Rhinolophus ferrumequinum: one gene and its partners. The protein of the gene in region 3 purifies or fractionates together with the protein of the main gene of each other region. This does not show direct contact. Links are inferred from orthologs where the notes say so. Each region holds a gene or a part of one and is shown on either strand. Other genes may lie near its edges.

The links.
Region 1: the proteins of AURKB (region 3) and PPP6C purify together in Homo sapiens (affinity purification with mass spectrometry, with the first as the bait; 3 studies listed by BioGRID). This does not show direct contact. The link is inferred for Rhinolophus ferrumequinum from reciprocal best matches to the Homo sapiens genes AURKB and PPP6C.
Region 2: the proteins of AURKB (region 3) and SEC16A purify together in Homo sapiens (affinity purification with mass spectrometry; 3 studies listed by BioGRID and IntAct, with this or other methods). This does not show direct contact. The link is inferred for Rhinolophus ferrumequinum from reciprocal best matches to the Homo sapiens genes AURKB and SEC16A.

What each region holds. Positions count from the first base shown.
Region 1 is NC_046295.1:74,838,618-74,846,668, forward strand, and holds the start of PPP6C (serine/threonine-protein phosphatase 6 catalytic subunit), read right to left. Parts: upstream 3,035-8,051; 5' UTR 2,873-3,034; coding exon 2,798-2,872; intron 1-2,797.
Region 2 is NC_046295.1:82,364,657-82,371,921, forward strand, and holds the start of SEC16A (protein transport protein Sec16A), read left to right. Parts: upstream 1-4,234; 5' UTR 4,235-4,285; coding exon 4,286-7,265. UniProt on the Homo sapiens protein: Acts as a molecular scaffold that plays a key role in the organization of the endoplasmic reticulum exit sites (ERES), also known as transitional endoplasmic reticulum (tER).
Region 3 is NC_046304.1:10,789,573-10,796,658, reverse strand, and holds the start of AURKB (aurora kinase B), read right to left. Parts: upstream 3,100-7,086; 5' UTR 2,969-3,099; intron 2,688-2,968; 5' UTR 2,663-2,687; coding exon 2,615-2,662; intron 609-2,614; coding exon 506-608; intron 398-505; coding exon 358-397; intron 113-357; coding exon 1-112. UniProt on the Homo sapiens protein: Serine/threonine-protein kinase component of the chromosomal passenger complex (CPC), a complex that acts as a key regulator of mitosis.

The DNA of each region.
Region 1 (8,051 bases), on a different chromosome or scaffold from region 3:
ATGGAGGCATTTCAGACAGAGGTACAACTGTGCAGAGCAGGTAGCCTTATATGAAAAACTTAGGAGATGGCTCAGACTAAACATAAAAGTGAGTTCCAAAAAAAATTACATTAACAATTAATCCATAAAAGTGGTTACTATGGAATCACACAATTCCTTGTGTTGCATCTCTGAGACAGACACTAGTATTCTCCAACCCCTACCATGGTAACTCTCTTTGGTTCCTCAGTGAAAAAAAACTGTACACCAACTCAGTGTGCAATTTCTTTGCTTACATGTCACCTTTAAGAACTATCCAAGAGATCAGACAATCTCCAACTTATAAAACCCATCCCCTGCCAAAGTATTTAAGTTGAAGTATTCAGTGAAACAGTCTTTTATCATTCATTCTTCCACTTGATCAGATCAGTCTACCTATGTCTTCTATGATCAGCTCTGAATCCTTATGGATGAGAATCACATGAGCTCTTTTTAAAGAAAGGGTATGCTTTGGTCCACTCACTTTTATAGTTCATTCTTATTCCTGCGAAACAGTTACGAAGATTCGATTGTGTACTAGTGACATGACCACTTACAATTTAGGTGTAGAGAAATCATGATTAGATCTAGAGCATCTTATACATTTAGTATTTTACTTAGTACCTCCAACTTAAAGTCAATTTAAAACACACTGAATTTCTGCCTTTTCTACCAGAACAAATCTTTTCCATAATGATCATTACGTGATCCCAGTGATTTCTTTTCTTCCTCTTACAGAATCTTTTATTTTGGCTTTAAAGCCTTAGAAAAGGTACTCCTGGAATACTTTCTTGGACTGCCTAATTTTAGTTTGCACTTCATGCCAAGAAGAAACAAAATTAAATTTCTTTAAATACACCAGAGATGAGCATACATCACAAGCAAATTAATCTGATAAAAATATTTCCAAGACAAAGAAGAAAAGCCTCCCCTTATTTAAAAAAAAATTCAGAATTTTTCCCTCAGTAGATTTTTTTAAATTTATTAATAACTAGATACATGCTAAGTATACGCCAATTGTGTTGCAAAGGGAAATGAAATGGTTTAAGAACTATTTTTCCTTAAGGTTGGAAGGAACTCTAACGTTTATCAAACTAAGAGGTCTAAAGAAAATCCAACTGATGTATCATCCAAATAATTTCAATATCAATTTCAAGTTAATATCAAGACACATTTTCATAATAAGCAACATTTTACTAATTATAAACACAAAGCTTAAAACTGCTTTACAGATGCTAAAGAATAGAAAATTTCACATCAATTCACTGACAAAAAAACAATAACTTCACCCATGGGATTAACAATGTTACCAAAAGATGTCTGGTTAGATTTCCATGAACTGGATACCAGTGTTGGTTGTATCCTTGTTTCCTTAAAAAGCATATAGCAGAAAGAAGCCACAAAGGACTCAGATGAACATGAAAGCTGCATTTCTACTAATACTGGCTTTGTCCTCCTTTTAATTAAATTATCCTATTCGTATATGTGCTGCCGAAGCGAGCACTAAATTATCCTATTAAAAAGGGGGACATGCACAAGAATGACTCCCCTATCATATAGCATATATTTACCTATAAGTACAATAAGTTACATTAAGGTCCTTTGGCCTTCAAGATTTTGCATACTTTTTGACTGACATTAAACATCAACTTCCTGCATCAAAAGGGCAAAACAAAAAAACCAGTAACATCTTCCTTAAAAGAAAAAAATTCACGGACAAAGATGAATTGCTTTAAACCCACAGCTTAAAAGTATAAAAAAAAATTCATAACTACACAGTTTACCCACTTACCACATACAAACCAAAGTTAACTGAAAAAAATAAAAGACAGTAGCCCTACTAACCGCTATATGCTGCTGACACCTAAACACCGGTTTTAACAAACGCACAGAAATAGAAACACTTGTCAAAGACTGACGTTTATTCCTTTACCCACACATACTTTACTGTTACTTGGACTTGGCAGTAACAAAAAACTCGCCTCCTTTAGTAAACCAAAAAAATGAAATATTGGGTTAAGAAAGGATTATGGAGAAACACCTTAAAGGACAGAAAAGTATTTGTATTTATTGAGGGCCTACTAAATTACCCACTTATATTAGTTTTACCCACTTAAATTAGCTCAACAACATACTTGCAAATGGAATTCATATCTGAGCTGGCAGAAGAAAACCAACACTCCTGAAAAGCAGCTGGGAGGAGTGGTAGGAAAAGAGGGACGACTTGACGTTTTCCCGCATCACCACCAAACCGCTCCCGCCCACCGTCTTCCAGTCCTCAGGAACCCAAACACGCTGACTGAGGACGCGTTCCGGAGGCCGGCGGCATCTCCTGTCATTCGCCAGCCACCCAGACCTCCTGTCATATTTGGGGGGATGACCCATTCCGAGGGCACTGCCTGCTGGGGCTCGGTTCGGACTCCGGAAGACCGGAGATGGAGTTAGGGGCGAGAAGACTTCTGTTCCAAGCACAGCTGTGAGGGCTCAGTGCCCCGGGACACCCGAAAGCCAGGGGGGATAACCCTGGGACAGAGGCCGCGACATCCCTCAGGATCCCCACTACGGAACTGGGACAGCATTCGGGGGACTATGGCTCCGCTCCCTCCGCTCTCCGCAAGAAGGCAAGTCGGAACGGGTCGCTCAGCACTGCGTCAGGCCCTCCATCGTGACGGGACGGGATGCTGGCGGGGGTCCGGGGTAGAGAAGGGCGGGCCGGCGGGCGCCCCACTGCCGGAAGGGGCGAGCCCGCCAGCAGCGCTCCCGCCCCGACCGGGCTCACCTTCAGGTCGTTCTCCGGTAGGTACTTGCACAGCCGCGCTATCTCCACATACTTGTCCAAGTCTAGGGGCGCCATTTTAGAAATAACAAGCCCGGACGGCGGCGGCGGCGGCGGCGGCTGGAGTATCGGCGGCAGCGGCAAAGGCCGAAGCCGGAACTCTTCCTACGTCACGTCCGGCCCGTGAGAGGCATCTGCGCAGCGGCGTAAAGCTTGACCCGATTCTCCCCGCTGCTTCGGCACGCCCCGATCCTTCTCCCGCTGAACGCAGGCTGCGGGCCCTAAGGGGCTCCCTGGCTACATAAAATGAAACCGGCTGCGACCCGTAGTTGTCTGCCGCTGAGAGGGATGGGATTTGTAGTTTTCAGTAGCGGCCAACTACGCCTCTTTTCCTCCTCTTCCCTTCCTCCAGACTTTAACGTCTGGGGACCCAACGAGGCTTTTCCGATGCAAAACGGCGAAGTATGTGACTCTAGTCATTCCCTGGTTTCCCACTACGACTCATTTAAGCATTCTGTCACGAGAACATCTTCAATTAAAAATTAGGTAAGCTTGGCCGTAGTAATCTGTTTGCACCTTTCCGAGGCCTTGTGAAAACCTTGCCTAAATCTGTGGCAGAGATGTCAGGCTACGAATCTTCCAGCCTGGAAGGAAGCGAAACAAATATTAAAGCGTTTTTTATGCCACATGCTATATAAATGCTGTTTTTCCTCATAATGATTGATAGGAAAGCAAGGCTCAGAGAGGTTAATTTTCCCAAGTTTCAAAGGGAATAGGCGCGGGAGCCAGGATTGGAACACGGGTCTAGCTGGTTTAAATATACTTCAGTGTGAATCCCATGCGAGCACGTAGTTTTTGTTGTACCCTCAGTTCCAAGAACAGGATCTGGCACTAAGTACCTTCAATATTCGTTCATTCAACAGCTTTTACTGAACACCAACTATGTGCCAGGTACAGCTGTCGACACTTGGGATATTCAGCAAACAAAATAGACGAAGATCCCTATCCTCAACCCATAGCTACTTTGTAGTAGAGGAGACAGAACATAAGCAATAAATATCATAAATATATAGTATATTTAAAAGTAATCAAGTGCTGGGAGGGGGGAAGCACAGCATGATAAGGGAGGTGAGATGATGCATTTTTAAGAACCAACAAAGAGGTGGGGGAGTTAGCCAGCAGATACTAGAGGGGAGTTATGAGAAAGAGCTAACACAAAGGCCTTAAGATGGAAGCATATCTAGAACCTTGGAAATGGCAAAAAAAATTAGTGTGGTTGGAGCAAAGTGAGAAGAGGAGATGTGAGAAAAGAATGTTGTTGTTTTTGTTTTGTTTTGTTTTTACTGATTTTTACTTTTAATGTAACGGAGTTACTGCAGGGTTTTGAGCAGAGGAGTAGTAACATCATCTAACTCATTTTAGAAGGATCTGGTGCAATATGAAACTAGGAGGCAATGGTTGCAGCTGAGAGACGAGTTAGGAGACTGTTACATAATCCAATAGTAGCAGGTTCTCAATCTATATTTGTTACTCAAGTGGCCCTGGACTGGATCCTCTTGTTCTACAATGTAGTTGGGGGACATTTGGCTAAAATTTAATCAAGTCTCTGGGTGGAGTTCTTCATATATTTCTTGTAACTGTTCTGTAAGTATAATATCATTTCTAGTAAAATTAATTTTTTAAAATTGGTTGCACAATGAATGATGCTCACAAACATACATTTCTTCATTTGTTCAATAATAGTTACATAGTACCTATGATGTGAATGATACAGGAGACAAACAATAAACATAAATGAGCACGTAATTAAATGCAAAGTGTGATTACTGTTAAAGAGGGAAAGAAGGGGTACTGTGAGTTAAAAAATGGAGGAGAGGCCTATTTTAAGATTGTCAAGATAGTGGAGGTTAAGTGTGCAGACTCTAGAACCAGAGTTCAAGTCTATTACTCACTGTATCACTTTGGCAAAGTTATTTATCTTTTCTGTGCTCCAGTTTTCTCAGCTACAATATGGAGATAGTAATAAGTGCCTACCCCATACGGAGATGTTCAGAGTAATACTTTATAGGCTTGTACTAAGGTTTAATAAATTTAATATGTGGAAAGGGGTTAAAACGATGTCATGTCCAGAGTGAGTGCAATGTGAGTGTTAGCTCTTCAGCATTGGACGGCAGGAAAGGCCTTTCTGAAGAGGTAACATTTAAGACTTTAGGGGGAAAAAGTATAAGGGAGAATATGCTCAAAATATCTTGAAGAAAAAAATTCCAAGTGAGGAAAATATGCTACTGTTGACTTTTTTTTTTTTATACTCCTCTTTGGAAAGCTGGCAGTTCACTTTTCATCTCTGCACCTCAGTAACTGGGAATGAATCCTACTCAAGATACTATCTCAGAATTGGGAAGGAGGACAAAGTGCTTGAAAGGAAAGTGTCACCGGCATCATTGCTTCCCTTGCTGATAAGCCAGTGATCAGGTAGGTAATGAAAGCATATGAGATCCTTTCCAGTGAAAATAACTGGTAGTCCTCACATTACCAAATTGTCTGGCAGCAAGAAGCTCCATCCTGCAGACCCACCTTATTCGGTGACCCTCACTGTTCACATGAGGAGCATAGAGAAAGGAGGAAGGTATCCCTGAATGGTGGGTGAGTTCTTAGAAGAGGTAATAGACACATTGGGTGGTTTGTTACACAGACAGTGAGTGTACAGAGCTTGCTGACTGGAATATGTCATTAGTCTTCCTTGCACAAAGCAGAAGATCTGGGCTCCTGGTTCTGCCATTTGTGTGAGTTAGTCATTTTAACTTATCTGGGCCTTGATTTCCATTTTAAAAATAGATCTCAAAAGTTCCTTCTAGCACTTTCTGAAATGTGATTTCTAGTCTAAAAGCATAGGTCCCACAATGAAAACTGTTTGCTATTTTGCCCACAAACCTCTTCCAGTTTTTCTTGTTTATGTGCAACTCCAGCATGGTATTTTGAAAAGTACTTTGAAAAGCCAAAAGACATAGGGGACATCAGAGCATTCTACAACTCTAAGCAGAAATCTCCATCTAGATGCACATGGACATATGGCAGAGCCAACCTGCCCTTGGCTTCCTTTCCTGAAGGAGAGCAGAATGACTAAATACCCCTAAACTCCTCTTTGGCAGTCAGTGGAGATTTTCCCATTAATATGAGAACTCACAAAGACTCCAGGTGTTTGAAATAGGATGTTTGAGCAGTGAAGAGAACTGCAGACCATATTGTCAATAAATTTTCATTATAGTTTCAAGTAACCAAAATATTTACCAAGTTGGCCTTTCACCTGTACTATCCAACACTCTCAACTGCTTCCTCTGAGGTAGGTGTTACTATTCCCATTCTGTAGATGATGAAACTAGGGCTCGCAGAGGGTAATGAACTTGCCAAATGTCAGGGTTAGATGGTTAGTGCTGGAGCCTGATTTGAACCCAAGTGTCTCTTTCTGCTTCCCACTATGCTACCATATTTCTGTACTCCAGGAGCTCCCATATTTCCTTCCTTAGCTGTTTCTTGTATTTCCTAGGATACAATTGGCCTCAGCCCTCTAAGAGATTGCGGGGGTTCTCTGAAACAGGCATTGGTGAGCCGCCTCTCCATTTTGAGGAAAGCCACAGGGAACCTATGGTTATGGAGACCAGAGAAAATGCGGATGAACACTTCTAACTCAGGACTCACGTCTAGAGTTGGGTTATAGCTAGGAATAGCATTATACTTTACAAAGGACCAGCTCTACACCAGCAGCTGGGCACTGAGCACTTTATATTAGCTCATGTATTCCCCACCATAACCTTGTGACAGAAATCTTAATTAGCCCCATCTTACAGACAGGTAACACCGAGGCCCAGAGAAACTTAACTTTCCCAAGAAATACTCTCATTGATGAACTTTTTATTCCTTACACTTTTTACAAATGTACCTAGTTATTTGTTTTTCTATTTAACCTCTCTCTCTCCCTGTCTAGTACGGTTGTAAACTCCAGGAGGCCACGGACCTTTTTTGTTTGGTTCAGCATAGTACCTGCCATAGTTACACATGCTAATTCTGGAATGAATCAGCCCTTTAAGGTGCCAAATCTTGAACTGGCCTAAAGACTGAGCAGGTAGATTTCACACCTAGGAAAACACCCTTAACTCTCCCTTTCAAAACCCATTTCTAATAGTCGCTGGAACTGAAAATATGCTAGCCCCTTTAGGATAATAGCCCAGCTGCTGAAGGAAGTGGGTCATCCAAGTGGAGGCCCCCGCATTTCGCGTGTAAATCTTTTCCAAGTAGCCCTGGTTTATTTACACCGCTGACCTGGCGGATGAGGTCCCTACAAGCGCCCGGCCTATTTGATCCCAGAAATGCACAGCCCGGCCTACACCCCTTTAAGGGATCTCTCGGGGGGCTGGGCTCTGGGGGTGGGAGGAGGGGAGCGGTTGGCCGCCTCGCTCCTCCGGGGTCTGGGATAGGGCGAAGGCCCAAGCCCCGCCCCCATTGGGGCGGAGCCACAGTCCGGTACGGGCCAAAGCCACCGCAGGTAATGCGGACTGGAGCTGGGGGTCACAGGACCCAGGGTCTGAGGCGATTCTGGGAAGGGGCGGTCGCATCCTGTAGGAGAGTGGGCTCAGGCCGGGTGGAAAGCGCTGGGGAGACCCTCCTCGGCTTCTGGCTCGGCCATATTGACGGAAAGGAGCCAGCCTGTTCTCTCTCGACCCTGTCTCCTGTCCCCTGTCGCTGCCACGCGGGTGGGACTGGGGGATGGGTCTGGCAGGTGTGGCTGCGGGAAGGCCCTGGCCATAGAAATTTATCCCACTGAGCTTTGGGCTTTGGGGACAGCAGTCTGTAGCTTTGGCCTGAAATTGGATTTATCCCTTCATCTCCCAGAAATCTCATTCATTTTCTTTTTTCATGCACTCATCCCTCATTTTTACTCTGTGGCCCATTGGTAGGTTCTCTGAATGAATCTGACAGGCTCAACGCTCTTGGAATTCAGTCTAGAATCTAGTCTAGAAAACTTTTAAGTAGATAATTACATTCAAGGTGATCCCTGAAATGATGGTGGTTCAGAAAGAGAAGGAAGTAACTAACTTGAGGATGTAAGTGGAAAGCAACACATCAGTTAAGGTTTTACTGAGGAGGGTTCATTTGAACTGGGCTTTGGAGGTTGACTAGGGGTTGCTGGTTGACAAGAAGGGAAAGCACTTTTCAGGTACGGGAAGCAGCACAGAGTGCAAGTTATGAAAGGGCTTGCTAT
Region 2 (7,265 bases), on a different chromosome or scaffold from region 3:
CGCCTCCCGCACCGTATTGCCCGCTGGTCAGACTGACCGGGACCTCACATGAATGGCCGGGTCCTTGGCGAGTGCCTTGCGGCTCAGCTGTGTTGACACTTGTCTCGGCCTTGCTGGCCTCGGTGTGGGGTCGTGTTGGAAGGGCTGGGGGATAGGCCAGACTTGCAACTTTTTAAAGAGTACACACACTTAGGAAGTTTCTTAACACGTCCTTTGCTTCTAAGGTTCTGAAGTTGTTTTGTCTTCAGGGGTTGAAAGATTTCTACTGAGCCATGCAGGTGATGAGATAGATTTACATTTGAACCAGGGAGCAGCATTGTTATGTTACCAAGATGTTGCAACGGAGGTCAAGTGCTGGTGTTTTGTATCAAGGGTTAGAGGATGTGTAAACCAGCCTGCTCGTTTCGTGAGGAAAGTATTACAACAGCGTCTGGACACATCTCAGCCATTTAAAATCAGTTTTTGCAGCTTCACTTTGAAATGCCTTGGAGATGGGACACGGGTTGGTTATTAAGGTTTTGTTTTATAGATGAGATGTGATAAAAATGTTTACATTTTTAAAAAGTTTATTACAGTAAAAGACACTGCCATTAATCCCCCTCAAAGTACTCCCACACACCTTCAACACACTTATCCCGTCGTTCCTGCCACTTTCTGAACCAGTTCTGGAAGTCCTCTTTCCTGAGTGACTTTAGTTGTGCTGTTGTGGCTGCCTCGATGTCCTGAATCGATTCCAAACGTTTGTCTTTCATGGTCGTTTTGACTTTAGGGAACAGCCAGAAGTCACATGGTGCCAGATCTGGTGAATAAGGTGGATGAGGACACACCGTAATGTTTTTATTTGACAAAAATTGCCATATACCAGAAGCGATGTGTGACATGGAGCATTGTCACGATGGAGGATGATTTACACCACACTTTGAAACACATCTTCTCTCAACCGTAGCTCACACCCAACTGACTGCACCGAACAAGTTGAAACTTGTCACACACTTACTAAGGTTTGACAGGCTGCTTCCCATATGAAAGATCCCTGCCTTTCTGTTGGGTGGCACTCAGCAGCAGCGTTCACTGTATTTTTTTATCACACCTTGTACATATGATGCAGGTGCTACCAGAGGTATTTCCTATCCTCATATATGACAAGAAGCAAACTGAGTCACAGACAGTTGTTCCTAGAGTGACACTTGTGCAATTTGAGCACAGCCACCCTCCCTGCAGTTTTTTTTTTTTCCATGCCCTTTCTTAGGGTTGTGGGTACTGTTATCTTAAAAAGATAAGACAAGCAGCAAAAGAGCACTTCTTTCTTGTTCCTTGTGACTCATTCACCCTTAATAGCAGTTACTACAGTAAGTCTCAAAATTGTACTGAGAGTTTGTTTTAGGGTAGTGTGTAAACTTTCATATGATTCCTTCTTTTCTCAGTGTCAGCATGGGTTTTTGTCATTTTTAGCAGTGTTTAGACTCCCGCTTCTTTTCCTTTAATATCTAAATGTGTTTGTACTTAGAAAAGTTGGAGTTTATGGTGTCTTTGGGTCAAGTGCTTAGTCTAGCAGAGCTGTCACTCCAGCTGTCACCATGGGGGAGGTCGTAGGCAGAGGGCAGATGCAGGTGTTTCTTCGTGCTCCTGTTGGTTTACACACTTGCAGCTGGGGCAGTGGCTCTGGGAGGGGAGGAGTGTGCTTTAAGTATCTCAGTTCAGTAGCTAGGAATTTATATTGGACACGGGTCATGCCAAAATATTTCACGGACACAAGCAAGTTAAATCGAAGACTAGGTTTATGAATAATGCATCTTAAAATCAGCTGGTCTTTCTGAAACTGTCTTTTTAAAGTTAGACGACTTGAGGCTACAGCATGACTTACTGGACAGAATAAAATTCCCTGTCATCAGGAGGCAAATGACACGCAGTTGCATTGTTTTTCTGCTGGTGAATAGAGAAAAAAGATCAAAAGAATAAGATTGTCCAAGATTGTTTCAAATGGAATTGGTATATTGCTAAAAAGCTCTCACTTTGTGGTCAGGAGAGTAGCGTTTGCTTCTGAAACGATTCTCAGTCTAGGAGCTGAGGAAATTTTAAGTTTCTGCAAGGAAAACATTTAAGTATAAACATGGGAAATGTAGATTCTGGTAAGATTTCCTTGTTAAACAGTGGTAGGAATTAGTGCACCCTAGAATCCTCTGGGAGTAGAATTTGATCAGATTAGACCTAGAAGGGACCCTAGAAGTCATCACATTAATTCTCTCCTTTATGGCTAAAGACACTGGGTTGCAGCGAGAGAAGAGGTGTGCCCAAGCCACTCGGCTGGACGCCCAGTCTTGCTCTCACAGTGACGCCTGATGAACAAATCCTATAGGCCTGTGCTCCGTGCTTTGTTTTTTTTAAGCTACTTAGAATGGTTGAGGGTCTTCTGAAGCCTTGCAAGGAGGAAGTTGTGTCCCGGAAGACGTCCTGGGTACCTGTTTCACAAAGGAAAACGCTCAGCCTGTTCTACCCTCAGTCCATATAAAGCTGAGCCGTAAATGTTCTTTGTTTTAAAATGACAGCTTGGAACCAAATGAAGTCTCTGATGCTGTTCCTAGTATATAACATACAGTCTATTAAATTTGAGTGAGCTGCAAAGTGTTAGTCGGGAAGGGTTTCCTGTTGACCTAGGACAGCGTGTGCGGGCAGTGATGGTAGCGAATCAGATTCGTAGGATTCGTTTTCAGTTGGGGATAGGAACTTTTATTTGTAAAGTGCTTTACCTAAAGTACATTCATAAGTGGTTTTTTAATTTGCACATTAGAAAGATTTCCAAGAACCAAAACATGTGGATTCAACTCCAGAGTCCTTGTACCACCTCTGCCTTTGGTGTTTACTTTCCTCTGTGATTGGCTAAAGTTAATCCGTTTGTGAGGGTGGTGCTAGGGAGAAAAGGAGGGATACCTGCAGAGAGAAGCGTGTTGTAAAGAGGCAGGACTAGGACTTTTTGTTTTCAAAGTACAGGTTAACTGTTCAAGGTTATACCTGATATATTTTATTTAAAAATAATCAACAACAGAAAACACTGTAAAGAGGATTTTTACTCCTTGGTTTCTATAAAAGTTTTGTTGGCGCTCTGCCTATTCTTCAAAATGTTTGAATCAAGTCATTTGGTCACTTTTTTTAGTTTGTTTCAATGTTATTGACTATTTTCCTTATGCTATACCCTACGTCCCCGTGACTACTGTGTAACAACCAATTGGTGGTACTTTTTTTTTTTTAATTTTTTTATGTGGGAATATTGGGGAACAGTGTGTTTCTCCAGGGCCCATCAGCTCCAAGTCGTCGTCCTTCAATCTAGTTGTGGAGGGCGCAGCTCAGCCCCAAGTCCAGTCGCCGTTTTCAATCTTTAGTTGCGGGGGGGCACAGCCCACCATCCTATGCGGGAATCAAACCTGCAACCTTGTTGAGAGCTCGTGTTCTAACCACCTGAGCCATCCGGCCGCCCCCTCATTTGGTCTCTTTGACAGCTGCTTTACATGGACTTGGCATTTACCAGGCATAGTGATGACGTGCCAACAGTCAGGCAGCTCATTGTGCTGTTGGTATTCAGCCAGTCCAAGTGCAGAAAATGAGACTTACGTGGTGGGATAAAAGGCATTTTAGATAAATACGGTTCATGTTCCTACTTTGCAGCTTGCATCACTCTGTACTTTATAATATTTTTTCACTAAAGAAAACGGAAGAGCACATTTTAAACTTTGGTTTTCCTTTTGAGAGTTAGAATGAACCTGTATGAGAAGTGTGATATGCAGTCTTCAGGGAGCTGGCTCTTTCTGGGTCTGGTGATAAGTTACAGGAAAAGTTACTGTGTCCCTGCTAGTCAGTCAGACCGGCAGGTTCTCCCTCATCCCTGCCAGCTTGGTGAGGGCACCATGGAGGCAGCGGGCATTCTGGGTGGGTATTTTGCTGGGCTACGTAACTGAGCCCCAGAGAAGGGCAGTGACTTGTCTGAGGTCATTCAGTTAGTCAGTGCACAGCCAGCTTCCATGTTCCGGCCCAGTGTTCTCGCTCGATGCTCTGCTGCCCAGAGCTCCCGGGACGGCGGCAGTTCTGTCCGGCAGTGGGGGGAGCAGACATGTATCCCTCAGGACTTATGTAATGTGAAATCTGTGACAGTCTTTGTCTTTTTTCTTAATTTCCTTATTGCAACCGTGACTGAATATATGGATTTTATGCTAATTTTTTTTCTTTTTCTTTTTCAGTTTAGATTAAGGAAAGCCTGTATCCTGCATCTTTCCGTGAGTGGCATCTGTCAGTCATGCAGCCACCACCCCAGGCCGTCCCACCCGGCGTGGTGGGGCCACCTCCAGCCGGGACCCCTCAGAGCACACACTGGTCTAGCAGCCCGTATAGGAGACAGGCGATAGCTAGTGCACCAGTGGCTCCAGGAGCTCGCCCATTGCAGCCGGTGACGGACCCATTCGCTTTTAGTAGACAGGCGCTCCAGAGCACATCGTTGGGCAGTTTGTCCAAAAGCAGCCCACCTGTTTTGCCGGGCCCGGCCTTGCCAGCGTTTCTTCAGCGCTCTGGTCTGCCTGTGCCTCACACAGATGCTGGGGGTGGCTCCCAGGGACCTCACGAGCCTCTGCCGGGATCTGTGTCGCAGCCCAGGGCAGATGCGGGCTCATTTTCCAGTGTGTTGACCTCTTCAGCACCGCCTGGGCCCGAGATGAACAGGAGTGCCGAGGTCTCGTCCAGCTCCGAATGGGAAGCTCAGACTCAGTACATTCCAGGAGCGGGTCCTGACAGTTCTCATGGGGGCCATCCACATGGGAACCTGCCTGGGCCCGACAGGCCCCCAAGTGGGCAGAACCCGCACGACAGTGCTGTGGCACCAGCAACGTCCCATTTCTTCCCTCAGCCTCATCAGCAAATGTCAGGGCGGTGGGGGCCAGTGCAAGGAGCCCCACAGCCCCCAGCTCAGCATTACTGGCCCTGTCCAGAAGGACCTGTTCAGAATGCGGTGTCCCAGGCCTCCAGCGTTTCCCACCTCCTCGCTCCGTCCACCCCACATCAAGGTCCTGGCCACGAGCCACACAGCCCACTGGTGTCTTTACCAGGACCCATGGTTGGTGACGGAAGAGATGAAGCAGCCTACCTGCAAAGTGGAAACCACTCAGCAAGTAACTTTGATCTTGAAAATGCATTCAGGCAGAATTTCCGAGTTGGGAACACTCGGGCTGGCCAGGACTTCCGGCCGAATCCAGGAGTGAATAAAGAGCAGTTGCCAGACTCTGCTTCTGTTAACCCCCTCGCTCAGGGAAATAGCCCCGAAAGTCATTTGCACTATGCCGTGGGGGCCGGGACCAGCCGGGCCCCGCCAGACGCCGACTCAGGTGCGCTCTCCATGTTTTTCCAAGGGGGAGAGACAGAAAATGAGGAGAACCTCTCATCTGAGAAAACGGGCTCTGCTGGTCAGTCTGCCTTGGACGGGTTCTCCCCCAGCCCTGGACTTGGCCATCCCCCTGCATACGTGGGGGCAGGCGGCATGTACCAGGCCTGTCCCAGCGCCTCCAACTGTGAGACCACGCCGCAGGGAGGAGACACGCACCCATTCTTCCCTCGGTCTTCAGGCGTCCAACATGATAAGCCAACCACTGAAAACGCTGCTGTTGATGTGTGGGCTGACACGGCAGGTGCGGGGACTCGGGACGCTGGTGGCTCACACTGTGAGAATGCCGAGAACTCAGAATTCACTCAGAATCAAGAGGTTCTGCCACGTGAACCCCCCAGTTTGGACCCTTCCTCCCCAGGCGATCAGCTCAGATACGGGCCCGTTCCCGGAGCAGCCGTCCCCAGGCGCAGTATCATGGGCCACGCTGGAGGTGGGGGCCCAAATCTCGAGGCCCTGGACCCTCAGCTTTATTCCGTGTGCCCCGACGGCTTGTCGTCCAGTTACAGTAGCAAGAGCCACAGGAGTCGTCCAGGTGCGGCCAGGCCCCAGGACCTGGGCACCTTCATTCAGCAGGAAGTTGGGAAACCTGAGGACGAGGCTTCAGGGATTTTTTTTAAGCAAATCGATTCTTCTCCTGTGGGGGGCGAGACAGACGACACTGCCGTGAGCCAGAAGTACCACAGCAGCCTGCCCCAGCCCTCAACCCCAAGTCCCCCAAAACCTACAGGGATCTTTCAGACAAGTGCAAATAGTTCTTTTGAACCCGTGAAATCCCACGTAGTTGGAGTGAAACCAGTCGAGGCCGATCGTGCTAATGTGGTGGGCGAGGTGCGGGGGACCCACGCCCAGCGGAGGAAGCGCAGACCGGCCGCTGTGCCGCCCGACGCCTGCCCTGGCAATCTGGAGCAGCCACCGGACAACATGGAGACGCTCCTCCCCGCCCAGGCCTGTCCTCTGCCTCTTGCTACACCTACGGACGCTGGTCAGGGGCTGGGGCCGCCCTCGGAATCCGTGCTTCTGACACCTGAGAAGAGACCGTCGACCAGGGCTCAGGGAGCCGTCAAGTGTGAGAGCCCGGCAACGACGCTCTGGGCCCAGAACGAGCTGCCAGACTTCGGAGGCAACGTCCTCCTAGCCCCGGCTGCTCCTGTGCTGCATGTGCCTGCGAAACCTCAGCCGTCAGAAGTGATTCAGCCCCCAGATGAGGGGGTGTCCGGTCAGTTGTCCCCGCAGCCTGGCTGCCTGCCCCCTCTGCAGAGCGGCGACGGCGTTGGTGCTTCTGAGAATCTCGAGAACCCTCCCAAAATGGGAGAGGAAGACACCCTTCTGTCGCAGGCGAGTTCTGGTTCTGGTTATGCCAGTCTGTTGTCCTCACCGCCCACTGAATCTTTGCGAAATCAGCTGGTCTTGATTGCCCAGCCTGATCAGAGCTGTCACCTGGCTCAGCCCATTCATTTTTCTGTGTCCTTGTCAAACCCCAATGAGAAGAGTCGGTCCTGGAGAGACGCTCGGGTGGGAGACAAAGCCACCACGAGCAGCCGGGCCGTGGGGGGTGATGGTGGAGAAGCCGCTCCTCTGTCTGGGGTTCCAGCCAGCTCCCTCACGTGCTTGCTTCTGCCTAACAGTCTTGCCCAGAGTAATTTTCCACAAGTTTCTGCTATCCCTGAAGTGGTTTCCGCCCAACCTGCTAATTTGCTGGTTCAGCCACCATCTCATCCAGTTCCAAAGAGCTTGCTTCCCGAAGGTCAAAAGGTTCATAATGCAGAGGACGTTCTTCCAGAGTTGGTGAATAGCCGTGCTGGGGGCACAGACGGCATGTTGGTGCCGTCCGCAAACAGCACCT
Region 3 (7,086 bases):
CTTGAGCGCCACGATGAAATGGCTTTTCTTCTCCCGAGCCAAGTACACATTTCCAAACTTGCCTTTGCCCAGAGGACGCCCAATCTCAAAGTCGTCAATTGTGAAGGACCGGCTGATTAGAGAGTGGGGGGAAGGCAGCTGAGTACCAGTTTGTGGATCACCTGAGCTGTTTGGCTTCTCCCTGCACCTCAGCTCATCCTGCCCTCAGCCCCATTTCTCTTCCAAGGGAGTCGAAGATGGATCAGGTTTTCTTGCCTGCATCCCTCCTCCTCCTGCCCCTAGCTTCTACCTCCCTCATTTCCAACCTGTTCACTCTCCCATCCGCTCTTCTTGCCACCCCAAGGCTTGGGCACTTACATTAAGTTGGGTGTCCCACTGCTGTTCTGGCCATGGGCAGCTAAGGAGAAAACAGAGAGGTTGAGGCCGTCCTTTGACATTTTCATCCCCGCACCCTCCCCAGACTCTAGTTCCTTCAGGTCAGTCCTCTTCCCCTTGTTCCAGTTACCTGTGGGCTGGGCACTGGAGCGGCTCATGAGGACAAGCGAAGATGGGGTGGCAGGCTCCTTCTGGAGGACTCTCTGAGGCAGGGTGTTCAAGCCAGAATGAGCCTGAGAAAGAGCACAGGGAGCTCTGAGGGTGCCTTTGTCCCAGTGACCAGGTTGGAATGTGCTACAAGCAGCATTCTCGCTTAGAGCCACCCACTCCCAGTTGAAAGAGGAGCACTGTGACCACAATATTGCTACTCAAATATTGCTGCTCAGAGCCCCATATTAATGGGTTATTAATAAATAAGCTAAACGGGCCGAAGATAAGGAGCAAAGGACTTACCCCAACACCTAACATTTCACCTCATTGGCCTTGGCCCTCACTACATTCTCTAGCATGAAGCTGTCCAATCTCTATAGTCCTGACCATAACACCACTCGTTCACCAACCCCCCACCCCAGGGGACAGTAGAGAGGGCTGGGGCAATGAAGATCCACAATTCAAGGAGTTTCAGCACAGAGGCATTCTCACAGTCCCCTAAAGAGTTCAGTCTAGTAAGGCTTAGATAAGGTCCTTGAATGTTCAGCAAACATCAGTTTACCCCTTGCAACCACAGGCTTTAGGGACACTGAGGGCTACTTTGTTGGCTTTGGACCACTTCTCACTTTCAACTTCTGGGTAATATACACAACTTCCTTCTGGGAGTGACCAGTGTAGAAGTGACAGTGGTTTCTCACTCAGCCTCTGCTCTTGACAGCTCCATGAGGGAGGGAGCTGGTAGACAAGGGGACAGGTGGACCCTCCCGGATACTGAAGCCCACAAATAGGGAGCAAAGCCTGTGTGGGCTCCTTCCTTTTAATTTAGCCAAGAGAGGAAGAAAGGCTATTCCCAAACAGTGATATTAGTATAGAATTTACATGTTGTCACACAACAGCCTAGCAGACTGTCCCCCCATGTCTTTCCTTAAGGAAAGAAGAGTCTGTGAGACTGTGCATCCCTGGGACTGTATATTTCTCTCTATTTAGTCTCCAAAAGAGGGGTTGCAGCCAATGACGAGTACGATTCCCCACGGGAGGGGGGGGGACAACTCAAGCCAGGCGGAACCCCATGGAGACCCCCATGAGCTGCCTTAAAAAGATTTGGGAAGGGGCCTTGTCTCCCCTTCCCCCTGCCTGGGAAAAACCACTGCTGACTCTCTGGTTTTCCCCTTTCACCTAATTGTGAGAAAAGTCTTTAGAGCGATAAGATCAAGCTCTCTCTGCTCAGCTCTATAAAACAGTCTCAACATGTGATATACATCCTTTAGGGAGTCACATACCTCACCTCAGTCATCATAGGACTTTTGCTTCAGCTGTTTGGGGACCAACATAATTGATTTGGATTGTTTCTATAACGTGATGGATGAGTCTCACAGACTGTGTCAGAAGCAATAACACTTCCTTGTATACTTGTCAATAGATACCACCAGTCGGCTTTATTCTGGGCTCCAGTCTTTGAGAACTGTGAGTCCCCTGACCTTCTGAGATTTAACTGCATTAAGTCTCTGTTTCTTTCTTTCTTAAAAACTTAACCCAAAGCCGCCCCTTCTCGCATCCTCATTGCCCGTGTTGCGCTGGACGCGACTTTTACAGATAAGCAAGTTGAACAAAAGAGTCTAGAAATAGACCCACGTATATGTGGGAATTTAATATATATAATAAAGCTGGTATTTCAAATCAGAGGATAGACTCTTCAATGAAAGGTGTTGGGATAACTGGAAAATAAATCTATTTAGATCCTTATCTCACACCCGTCATTAAAATAAAGTCCAAATTATTAAGCCTATTTTTTTTCAGGACAAGGGTTGGGAATCATGGCCCGAAGGCCAGACCCTGCTTGCTCAGTCTGTTATCATTTGTATATAACAAGAAGGCTCAGCCCTGCAGAGGTCCCTACAAGACTGGTCAGATTCAAGTTGGCAGCACGTGACCGGATGTGGCTGCAAATGATCAGACTAGATTCTGCCAGCAAACTCTTGGAGCATAAGGGAGAGGAAAGTGCTTAGAGGATCGCCCTCTACAGGAATTCAAATCTCGAAGCAGGAACTCGCCATGAGGGTGGGGGGAGGATAAGTGGGAAAGCCCTTACCTTCTGTCGGCCGTAGGGCCAGGGGTATGCGTTCTCCTTCTGAGTCATCTTTAGAGGGAAAGGGGGAGGAGAGCTGAGCAACGAAGGAAGAAAGAAAGAGCCGTTAGAAACAGGAAAAAGAGGGAGAAAAGGAGGGGTCGGACTGATGTAGCCAGACGCGATTGCCAAAGGCCAGTGAAAGTGATATCAGCAAACTGACCGCTTCAGCGCACCCGGGAGCTGGCTTCGCGGCCCCCGCCCTGCTACAAGCCCCACCCCTTTCCAGGACCCTATCTCTAAACCTTGAGCACCCAGCAGCCGGACCGAGTGCGCGCGGGCCAGCCCAATGGACCCCAGACCTGTCTGATCACTTGCCTTCTCCCAGCGCAAGACCCACGAAAGAAGGTCAGCTCCCCTGGAGCCCGCGGCACAGCCAACCTGTTGTCTGCTAGCAAACGACTGAATCGCCCCGGCCGCGCCCCCCGCTAAGGCCCTTTCAAATCTCCCGCCCTAGCCCCATTGGCTGAGCGCACCGCCCAGGCCCAATGCTCATTGGCTGGGTTTCCCATGACGTAGCCCCGCAGGGTCCCAAAGGAAGAAACTGAATGCGAGCCGCAGCATTTTGGGGTTCTGGTTTAGGCAAGTTTCCCTTATTTCCCAATCAAATATTCTCATATATATATATAAAAATATTCATATATATATATCTTTAATATAGCTGGAATTTACCCCTGTGTATGTATGAACTAGGGTCTAACTCTGTTTTCTGCCAGATAGAGAGCCAGTTATGCCAGCACAATTTGTTAAACTACACCATGCCTAGTGGGATTTATTTATTTATTTACTTGTTGTTTGTGTTTTTTTTCCAGAGTCTTTCTATGTTTCTCTCATATATAATGCCCAAGGATTTTAGTTATCCCCAGTGGAATTTAAATGCTACCCTTGATATATGAAGTCATCGCAGATACTTGGATCTAGACTCAATTATAGTAAATTATTCTTGTGTCATTACTATTTTGTTCTTTAAAGTCTTTCGCTCACCTTCCTAGTAGTTTTCCACCAGCAGACCTTTCTCTGCAGGTCTCCTGATGAAGGCCGTGTTATTTGGACTGACTCTCACTTTCACTTTCCGGCGACCCTCCCTACTTTTCTTTTCTTTCCGATCCCAAATTTTATTATTGGGTTAAATAAATACATCTTGAGACCTTCTATGAAATAAATAACTAGCAGATATTTCTAAGTAGTAGTATTGCCTATCCAGCACCCTTCCTGTCTTCAAATAATAACACCCTAACTTTGCTTTAGGGAACTGCCTGTCTCCGCATTCTTGTTGTCAGTTTCTGTTGCTGCTAACTCCAAATCCCTAACCTGATAAAGACCTTTTGTAGCGGACATTATGCTTAGCTAGCCAGCATCCATGCTCTGAGTGATTTCCACTTCCTGAAAGCACCTTGAGTTTTGTGAGATGAAAGCTGACCCCATCCCCGGTCCAGGAGTAGACCCTGTTTGATTTACATGTCAACACCTTTTACTCCAGGATCATGGTCACTGATTCAGGGATAAACATGTGACCTAAGGTGGCCATTTAGTGGGAATCTTAGAATTCTCCAGAACGCTAGGCAGAAACTCCTTTTCTCCTGTTAGAAGTGGACCAGGAAGCAAACAGCCTGGCATTGATGCTGGTGGTGCTGCCTGAGAATGAAGGTGACATTGCAAAAGGTAGGAGAGATGTCTGGGAAGAACCTAAGACCTTGATGATATGTTTTGAGCCTCTAGATGCCTATCTCAACATTTTCCTTACATGAGGCAACAGGTCTCCTTTCCTAATGCAGAGATTTGAGGATCATGACCACCCTGCTGCCATTTGTGAGAAATCATTTTGCTTCTGGAGGTTTTCACTGAGGGTCAACCCAACCCCACTTCCTAAGATCTGGGAGCCCTTTTCAATAGCGATGCCTTCATCAACATACTTGGCGTAGAGAGACTAGCCAATAAAAAGCTTTATAAATATCCTATCACTTGCAGTACAGTTTATTTCTCAGGAGTTAGTGAAGGGAGACTCTTTTGGAAGCTATCAGGGGACATAATGCCTGATAGATCTAATACAGTACCTCTGTCCCTTGGAGTAATTAAATTCCCACTTGCACATTATGTCAGAACATATTTGGCTTTTCAGGAATATTTGATGGGCGAGCATAAAATTGGGATTTGCATTATTCATAAAAGCAAAAAAAAACCTGTTCTATCAGCTCGGCAACTATCAGCTGACTGTTTCCGTTAGTGAACAAAAATCTCTGTTATAAATGATCTGTGAGGGAAGAACCAGTCTTGATTATTTTCAGTCTATCACAGATGATACTTGTATAAAATACAATAAAAATGAGTTCTTGAAAGAATGAAATCTAAAAAATATAAAAATTACAAGCCCACATTTTTGTTTGTTTGTAATCAACATATATAAAAGTACTCTGACAAATGCCGTATGAGTTTTTAAATGCTTACTTTTAAATTCTATACTTATCCTGGACCTGAAAGAAGCAGTTTGTGAAGCGGCATCAGTCTGTGGACCACACTTTGAACATCACCAATCTACACCCATAGTGATAAATGTAGCCCCATCCAAAATTATGCTCACTGTCCTTAATCTGGCACACACAAAGTTGACACTTCTGCAGATATTCCCTGGGTTTATAATGACATAAATTAGCAATTTCCTCTAAGGAACTCTTTTCTTCTTTCCTCTTGCTTTGCTTTTCACCTCTCAGTCCATGTTAGGTGTGGATTCTGGCTACTGGCCAAGTAACAATGAGAGGGGTAGGTGAGAGGGGATCACCACTGTTTATCTGCCAAGGCTGAATTTTCATGTGACTGGGAAGGCTCAGAACTGTGTTGTCTTCCAAAGTTCAGGGCAGGATGGCTGGGATACTATAATGTTTGGGAGGCACAGATGTCAGTACCTTTTATTTTAGATAATGGAATATCCACCAAAGAAATTTCAAGACATGAATTCTCATCATCAGCCAAGAAACCCTGTCCAGGAGTGAGTAGTAGACTCAGAAAGGTCTAGAAGGGGCTCATTGGGAGACGCTGGCGAATATCGCCAATGTCTTTTCACTAACTTGTCCCCCTTAAGGTAAAGCTGAAGCAGTGCTGCTGAGTTAAGTGGGTGCGTCAGGACATGGCTGCCCTCCTCCATCCAGACTCCCCTAATCATCCCCAGGTCAAACTTCATTGCTGGGTTTGCTCTTGGCTATTAGAGCCCAAGTGTTCACCTTTGGCACAAACCACCGGCCTGGACAAAATGTGTCTCTGCCACGATGATGGAAGTCCTGTCCAGGTCCATTTACGTGTCTTCACAGATTGGATCAAGATGGACAGTGCCACAAGCCTCTACACTACACTTCTAATACATTTTAAAGACTTTTTTATTGAAGTGTACATACAGAACATAAATAGCTGGATGACTTTCACAAACTAAACACCCCTGTGAAACCAGCACCCAGATCAAGAAACAGAACATCTTCAGCACCCCAGGAGGACCCCTCGTCCTCCTTTTCCAGTCACTACCCCCTTTCCCAAGAGTAACCACTATCCTGATTTCTAACTTCATAGTTTTGCCTGTTTGTCCTTTATAGTCATGGAATCATACGATATATATTCTCCTGTGTCTGACTTCTCTCATTCAACGTTATGTTTGTGAGATTTATCCATGTTGTTGATGTACGGACTTTGAAATATACACGAACATGATAACATTTACACAGGCTAGTTAAAAGTAAGTCTCTCTACCAACTTTTTTTTTTTTACAGTAAAATATGTCAAGTTTTATTCATGAATTTGTGTTCACATTGACAGTTAAAAACACAAAGGTCTTCTTCTCAAAGGCATCATGAAGGGGATTACAATAGATGAAATGAATTAAAGTCATGTAAGTATATAAAAGTAAAATGCCACGTGACATCTATAAACTGGGCTACTTTGTGTTGCTGCTCCATGTCCAAGGACACAAGCTTCTAGATTTCCTAAGTGAAAGGCTGGGTGAAATTCCCTGGAAGTGAGTAATTGCATGGTCCATAAAAAAGTGTCAACCAGTGTTCTCTGAAGTGGGCATAGCCATATCTCACACAGTATCCGTCCTGTACCAAGAACCATTGTTGAGTAGGTGGGGGTACCACAAAGACACTGCTCAATTCAGTGTTGTTAAGTGTGACATGGGAGCTGGGAACCGTATACTCCCAACAAAGTTCAGCAGAAATTACCTGATTCCTTGGTGTATAGGTAAGCTAGGATTGAATGACAGCTTCATCAGAGAAAACCTGTGTTACAATTCCACAGAGACTAACAGGATAATCAAATTCAAGTTGGTCTTGTCACACTTCAATTGCCTGATAGCCACTTCCCAGAGATAATTCGTTACGGCCTACCAGTTGATCTTGACAAAATAGTGCTCTTTAAGCTACAGCGTAGAAATTAAAATGGCTGCATTCCACCAA